Arabidopsis thaliana: one gene and its partner. The main gene of each other region encodes a partner of the protein of the gene in region 2 in a complex. Each region holds a gene or a part of one and is shown on either strand. Other genes may lie near its edges.

Region 1 (3,753 bases), 7.1 Mb from region 2:
GTTTTGAGCTTGACTCATTGATGTGTTTGTGTATGTGTTGATGCATTGTGGTTATGTAGGAAGGAAGGTTGGATGAGAATGGACACTTGCAATGTTCGTATCATGGATGGTCATTTGGTGGGTGTGGATCTTGCACTAGGATTCCTCAGGCTGCTACTTCAGGTCCTGAAGCTCGTGCTGTTAAATCCCCGAGAGCTTGTGCTATTAAGTTCCCGACAATGGTGTCTCAAGGTCTTCTCTTTGTGTGGCCTGATGAAAATGGTTGGGATAGAGCCAATTCAATTGAACCCCCTAGGTAACGAAAATGATTATCTTCTCAGGCTTCCATGAACATAGCATACTCGTTTTATTACTCGTTTTATTAAATGCGTTGATCTTTAACATAAAAGGTTGCCGGATGATTTCGATAAACCGGAATTTTCGACGGTGACAATTCAAAGGGATCTTTTCTATGGATATGATACTCTCATGGAAAATGTATCTGATCCTTCCCATATAGATTTTGCTCATCACAAGGTGTTGTTTTCTTTCTCAAAGCTCCCAATGTGTTTGCATTTCCACTAAGGGATATTATCCTCAGGCGATGATTACGTGTTGTAAACAGGTTACAGGAAGAAGAGACAGAGCCAAACCATTGCCGTTCAAGGTGGAGTCAAGTGGGCCTTGGGGTTTCCAAGGTGCGAATGATGACAGTCCAAGGATAACCGCAAAATTTGTTGCTCCGTGCTATTCTATGAACAAGTGAGTGTTGAGTTTGCTCACTATACATAATAAATGGTTAGCATACAGTTGCATAGAATGAAATTGTGTATCCTTGTCTACAGAATTGAGTTAGATGCGAAACTACCAATCGTCGGTAATCAAAAATGGGTCATTTGGATTTGCTCATTCAATATACCAATGGCTCCAGGAAAGACCCGTTCCATCGTTTGCAGCGCCCGTAACTTCTTTCAGTTCTCTGTACCAGGACCAGCTTGGTGGCAGGTAAAACAAACTTTGATTCCATCTCTAATCCGATTTTACTACGTAAATTCTTCTGAAGCTGTTCCTTGTTAGGTTGTACCAAGATGGTATGAACACTGGACTTCGAACTTAGTCTATGACGGAGACATGATCGTACTTCAAGGACAAGAGAAAGTATTCCTCGCTAAATCAATGGAGTCACCAGACTACGACGTGAACAAACAGTACACAAAGCTCACATTCACTCCAACCCAGGCAGACCGTTTTGTTCTAGCATTCAGAAACTGGCTCAGACGGCATGGTAAGAGTCAGCCTGAATGGTTCGGCTCCACCCCGTCTAACCAACCTCTCCCTTCCACTGTCTTAACCAAGCGTCAGGTGAGCCATCAATCATGCATCCTAACATCATTTGATTGATCTCTATATATATACAAACACATGTCTGAAAACGTGACAAATTTGAACAAACAGATGCTAGATAGATTTGATCAGCATACACAAGTATGCTCTTCCTGCAAAGGAGCTTACAACAGTTTCCAAATCCTCAAGAAGTTTCTCGTTGGCGCGACGGTTTTCTGGGCCGCCACGGCTGGTGTTCCTTCTGATGTTCAGATTCGACTGGTTCTTGCTGGTTTATCACTGATATCAGCTGCTTCTGCATATGCTTTACATGAACAAGAGAAGAACTTTGTGTTTAGAGATTATGTACATTCTGAAATCGAGTAGATTTGTTGTGTATATGTATAATCATCATACAAAGTACAAACATTGTAAATCAAAATCCAGAGGAACTTTTAGCACTATAAAACCGATTTAACCGTTAAATTTTGGGTACTCAATTGAACTTTATAAAACTTTTAAGTAAGAAAACAGAAAAGTAGAATAATTACGGGGTCAAATTCGAAACATAAGAAAAACATTCGTCACTTCACTTGAGCAAGCACACGAAAAGCCGATAAGAAGATAACAATTACTACAACTGTGCGCTCTTGTTATCTCTGCTTTGAAGTGAAATCAGCTTTGGCTATGGCTTCTTCGACAGCTTTGTCTCTCTCATGGAGCTCCTCTCCTTGTTGGTCACACAGCTTCAATGGCGGTGCAAATGAAACCCTAAAAGTATCTGAGCGAAGGTTCAATTTTGAAGTTGTTTCCCAGAAGAAAGCTAAGAAACTTCGCAAGGTAAAAGTCATTACCTTTCATGGGTTTCCTTCAAAAATTTGATTTGGCTTTTAGTTAGTTTTTGATTTGAGCTTGTGTTTCTGAAGAATTTTGGTGGAGATGAAAGTAAAAGACTTGAAGATGCTTAATTTATGGGTTTAGTGTAAAAACATCGTCTTTGTTCTTGTATCAGCGTAGTTAGGAAGAAAGATGAATCAACATTAGAAAAGTAGACGCCTTTATATTACCAGTTTAGTTTCAAGTAGTGAAGATAAATTGGTTTGAAGCTTTGTTTCTGTGTAGAGAAATGGAGTAAGTGAAACACTAATGGTAAATCTTGTTTTGTGTCTTTAAGGTAATTTTGAAAGAGGATGTGACGGATTTGGGTAAGCAAGGGCAATTACTTGATGTGAAAGCTGGATTTTTCAGAAACTTCCTCTTGCCTACTGGAAAGGCTCAGCTTATGACTCCACTTCTGCTCAAGTAATTCACCTCAACTTCGAAATTTCCGTTCGCTTTTGTATGCTCTTACTATTCGGTTCTAAGGCCTTTGTATTTCGAGGGACTTTGCTACAATGTTGTAAGATCAACAAGAAAAACATCATTTTCTTTCTTTTTGTGTGTGTGTTTTTCCCCCAGGGAATTGAAGATGGAAGACGAACGGATTGAGGCAGAGAAGCAAAGGGTAATCTGATATGAATACATTGATTGTTTTTATTTGATCATCATGTAAAGTTTTGGTGTTTGAGTGATCACCAAAAAACTCTTTGGTTATTGATTTTCATCTGTTTGTTGGTTTTTTCTTTGCGTGGAACCTTTTTTGCAGGTGAAAGAAGAGGCACAACAACTGGCGATGGTATTCCAAACCGTTGGTGCTTTCAAGGTTAAACGCAAAGGCGGTAAAGGCAAACTGATATTTGGATCGTAAGTCCTACTTAAGCAAATCTAGATTTTAACAGTCTTGAGAATAGTGTTTAGCCTGTACTTAACTTTATATTTTCCTGCAGTGTCACAGCTCAAGACCTCGTCGACATCATCAAATCACAGCTCCAAAAGTAACAACATAGAAAATTTTACATTTCCACATAAAAAGCTACAAGCTTTCTCATGTGGGCGGTTTAGTTGGATCAGTCTACATTTGGTTTTTAGTGTTGTTCGAAGAACCTAATATGGTTTTATCTGCTTCTCTGTGGCTGTGTTTTGCAGGGACATCGACAAACGCCTTGTCTCTCTCCCAGAAATCCGTGAAACCGGAGAATACATAGCCGAACTCAAGCTTCACCCCGATGTCACTGCTCGAGTTAAGATCAATGTTTTCGCTAACTAAACCTTCAACGATTCAAGACTCCTACTGCATCCCAAGGTATTTCTTGATTTTCCATGATCATGTGGCTTTTAACCATAAATGAAACTAAGTATTAGTTTTGTCTTAGTTCGTGTCTTAATTGGCATGAAATAAGTAGTTAAACCGATGTTCTGAACTCTGAACATCGGCATATAAACATTGGTCGGGAATATTGGCTGTTGAACGGAGTTTTGCGTTTTAAGGTCTAGCCGCAAACGCAGATGCTAATTGTCCATCGCACTGTGTTTGGTGTTTTGAACTTGCAGGAACGTATAGAGAGGGAAAAG
Region 2 (3,753 bases):
CCCTTTGGCTTGTTTGTCTCCACCGATTTCTGCATTTCATCATTTACTTTTCCCTCTTCATTTTTTTTTGTATTTTAAACCACAGAAATACGTAATAAGAATGGAGAATTAGCCTACCACTGCTGCAAGGAAGTTTATGAGAAGGTCTTCCTCTGTAAAATTAACTTTCCCAAATGGAATGTGAACAATCCCAGTTTTGTCTGCTCTGAATTCAACTTTCCCCTTCTTGAACTCTTCAATAGCCTGAGAGATTTATGCATCTTTAAGCCATGACTACCAGAATCAGGAAAAGATGTTGCAGAGTAGGCTTACCTGGGGAATGTTCGCTGTGACTGTACCAGCCTTGGGATTTGGCATGAGCCCCCGTGGTCCAAGAATCTTTCCCAGGCCAGCAACCTAAGCGCCAAGTTCAAGAATGTTAGAAAATAGATCACGAGTTACAAGTATCTCATGCCACCTTATTTGCCAAGCATGACGGTTTCATATGCTGTAACAAGTAGAACATTATATCATCAACACATACCTTGACCATCATATCCGGGGATGCAATCAGCTTGTCAAACTCCATGAAGCCTCCTTTAATCTGTTCGATTAAATCATCACTGCCCACAATATCTGCCCCTGCACTTTTGGCTTCATCAACCTTCTCACCTGGAAGTTCAGCATGGAAATGGTGCAAGCCAAAGATTTAGAAAGAATAAGCCACATGATACACAAGAACTCCATCCAATCAATATATAAATAAAAAGTCAATCGCACCAAACAATGTTGCATCTAGAGAAGTACTGACTGACTGACTGATACCGTAAACATTATCTCTGTCCTAAGTCCTAACAGTGAATTTGGTGACTGAAATGGTAAAGCATAATCTCTGTCCTAAGTCCTAGCAGTGAATTTGGTGGGGCAATATACCTTGTGCAAGAACAGCGACTATAACAGTCTGGCCAGTTCCCTTAGGCAGGCTCACCTATACAAAAAGACAATGCATTGAGATTAAAAAATGTTGTGGAATGAAGCAGCACAAGATAGAGTGTATATCCAGCAAAAGGCAAAGCAGACCGTTGCACGCAGCTGCTGGTCATTGTACTTAGGATCGATGTTGAGACGGAAATGGGCTTCAACAGACTCAACAAACCTTGTGTTGGCAGTTTGTTTAAGCAAAGAGATAGCAGTGTTGACATCATACTCCTTTTTGGTTTCCCTTAGCTTTTGGATTTCCAAAAACCTCTTAGACCTTGTCTGTCAATGGGTAAGCAAACAAAGTGATGATTCACGAGTAAAGGAAGCGAAATTGAAGTAGGTAAAGCACATACTCTATCTCTCTTGAGAACCAAAGCGGCTTTTCCTTTCTTAGGCTTGGGCGGATCAAGGACGGCGGTGGCGGTCTGCTCCAGGTCCTCCTCCGTGTCGAGGTCAGCCTCAGCGGCCACGGCGGAGACAATAAACTTGTGGTTGGAAGCTCTGTCAATAGCAGCACATCTCCGGTCCCTGGAACCCCCAAGGAGAAGAAGCGGGAAGCTCAAGTGGTTGGGTCTGGAGCTGGCAAAAGAGAAAAGAGATGGAGTAGGGGTAAGGTCCTGGGAACGAGTGGATGCGGCGGCGTATGCTAGCATGAGAGAGGAGTGAGTAGCGCAAGCAGCCATTGTTGGAGCTCTCTTTCTTTCTGGGTACAAAGAAGAAGAAGAAGAGTGCGAGTCTCCCTAATCCACTCCACGCCCAAGGGGATAACAACACCCCCTATTCTTTCTAAGCTATTATTCTCTGCGTGGCGGGCACCTTAGCTACCGTGTTCCTAGTGACACGTGTCTTCTTATGGACCATTAGATCTTTTAACAACCCACACGCGTATCCTCGTGACCTCTTCTCCTTCTCCTTCTTCTTCTTCCTTCTCTTTTCTCAAAAATCAGATTTCGAGTTTCTTCTTTCCCGCCCGTAAGAGAAACCCTACTCTGACTCTCCACTCCATTTGAGAGGTAAGTTCCGATTCCTTTTCTCTCAGCTTCAAATTTCCTGTGCTACTATTTCCCCAATTTCATTCATCTTCTGCTGACTCATTTTGGGTGTTTCACTGTAGACTGAGCTCGTTCCGATAAGGAGAGGAGATGTCTAACGTAACCGTCTGTGCGCGATTCAGGCCGCGAAGCTCTAAAGAGATGCGCGATCCCAGCAGAGATGGTGTCTGTGCTCGACCCATCGACGCTGAAACCTTCGTTTTCCAAGTTTGTCTACTCGACGCCGTGTGCTTGATTAATATTGTCTCTCTCTCTCTGTCTCTCAAACTCTATCTAGCGTTTTTACTTGCGTGTAGGATGACAAGGAAGATGAATTTACATTTAGCCTCGATAGAGTTTTTTATGAGGACTCTACCCAAGCTGCGGTTTATGAGTTTCTGGCTCTCCCCATCATGAGAGGTACTAATTGATTCCTTGATCTTCTCTTCTGGATTTTAGATCTAAACATTTGAGCACCAATCTTATGATTTTACAATGTAATCAACATTTTTGGTTTTGGTTTCCTCCTACCTTTGTCTTTTGCATCTTTTACCTTTGTACTACTACTACTACTTTCAGACGCTGTAAATGGTATAAACGGAACAATCATCACTTATGGACAGGTTTGTTCTTCTCCTGATCTCTTTTATCTGGAAATGCTTTCAATGTCTTTTTCTTAATTTGGCAGATTTTGATCTCAATTTGATCGTTTCATGTTATACTATGCAGACAGGGGCTGGGAAGACTTATTCCATGGAGGTCACCTAACTCATCTTGATACCTCTTCCTGTAGCACAAGGACCATTCCTTCTTCTGGCTCATTTTGGTTTTCTTCGATTGATTCAGGGACCAGGCATCCAGGACTGTGATGAGCACAATAAAGGACTTCTTCCAAGAGTGGTCCATGGGATGTTTGAGCAAATCAGCTCTTCCAATGATATTGCAAGATACACTGTTAAATTGTCTATGGTACTGACTTAAATGCACTTGCTATAAGTCTCCTTTCAAGCTCTCCTGTATAGACATCTTACGTGTCTTTTGTCTCCTCTAGGTTGAGATCTACATGGAGAAAGTCAGGTATTGTGTATGTAATTCCCTCTGATTTCTTCTAGGGTATATAGCTTATCGATAAATTCATATATCTCTCAGGGACCTGTTGGACTTATCAAAAGCAAACATACAGATCAAGGAGAACAAAACACAAGGAATACTCTTGTCAGGCGTTACAGAGGCTAGCTTCATTGTCTTATATCTTCTATTTGCTAGTGTTGAGAAAAATCTTTACTGGGTAGGCAAGTTTTAATCATTCGTTGCTTCAGGTGCCTGTATCAGATTCGGTGGAGGCATTACAACATCTATGCGTAAGATAGCAGCTACCCTAAGTTTCTTAATTGCCTTATACGGCCTTCTTCTTTCTTATTTCTGATGCCAATTGCCATTTCAGACCGGTTTAGCTAACCGCGCAGTTGGGGAAACCCGTATCCTCTTAGCTTTTACAGCACTTACTTGTTCAATGTTTCCCCATTTAGTCGATAGTGAGATTATGATTATGCTACTCCGAGTTGACTGAAAGGTTAAAACTGATTGAGAGTCATCTTGAAGAATGTTTCCAGTTTAACAATGAATGACAGAAATGAATATGTCCAGCAGTAGAAGCCACTGCGCCTACTTGTTCACAATCCAGCAGGATTCAGTTAAAGATAAAAGGTAACGATTTTTTACAATTAATCAGAAAAAAGTGATGCTGTAGTGGTGGAGCTTA

What was found. Proteins that work in one complex are often made in the same cells at the same time.
Region 1: EMB3126 (region 2) and RPL9 share a complex: the UniProt entries of both Arabidopsis thaliana proteins name them as parts of the 50S ribosomal subunit.

What each region holds. Positions count from the first base shown.
Region 1 is NC_003074.8:16,384,516-16,388,268, forward strand, and holds the start of RPL9 (ribosomal protein L9), read left to right. Parts: upstream 1-1,879; 5' UTR 1,880-1,989; coding exon 1,990-2,142; intron 2,143-2,476; coding exon 2,477-2,604; intron 2,605-2,760; coding exon 2,761-2,806; intron 2,807-2,947; coding exon 2,948-3,045; intron 3,046-3,128; coding exon 3,129-3,176; intron 3,177-3,327; coding exon 3,328-3,448; 3' UTR 3,449-3,484; intron 3,485-3,732; 3' UTR 3,733-3,753. Other genes in the region: ACD1 (Pheophorbide a oxygenase family protein with Rieske 2Fe-2S domain-containing protein), read left to right, coding at 60-295, 390-516, 605-741, 825-984, 1,057-1,341, 1,435-1,689. UniProt on the Arabidopsis thaliana protein: Binds to the 23S rRNA.
Region 2 is NC_003074.8:23,442,159-23,445,911, reverse strand, and holds the start of EMB3126 (Ribosomal protein L1p/L10e family), read right to left. Parts: upstream 1,710-3,753; 5' UTR 1,644-1,709; coding exon 1,314-1,643; intron 1,240-1,313; coding exon 1,060-1,239; intron 968-1,059; coding exon 913-967; exon of another isoform or gene 652-912; coding exon 524-651; intron 397-523; coding exon 313-396; intron 244-312; coding exon 118-243; intron 30-117; coding exon 1-29. Other genes in the region: AT3G63480 (ATP binding microtubule motor family protein), read left to right, coding at 2,103-2,219, 2,309-2,411, 2,571-2,614, 2,721-2,750, 2,838-2,960, 3,043-3,068, 3,141-3,234, 3,311-3,352 and 2 more. UniProt on the Arabidopsis thaliana protein: This protein binds directly to 23S ribosomal RNA.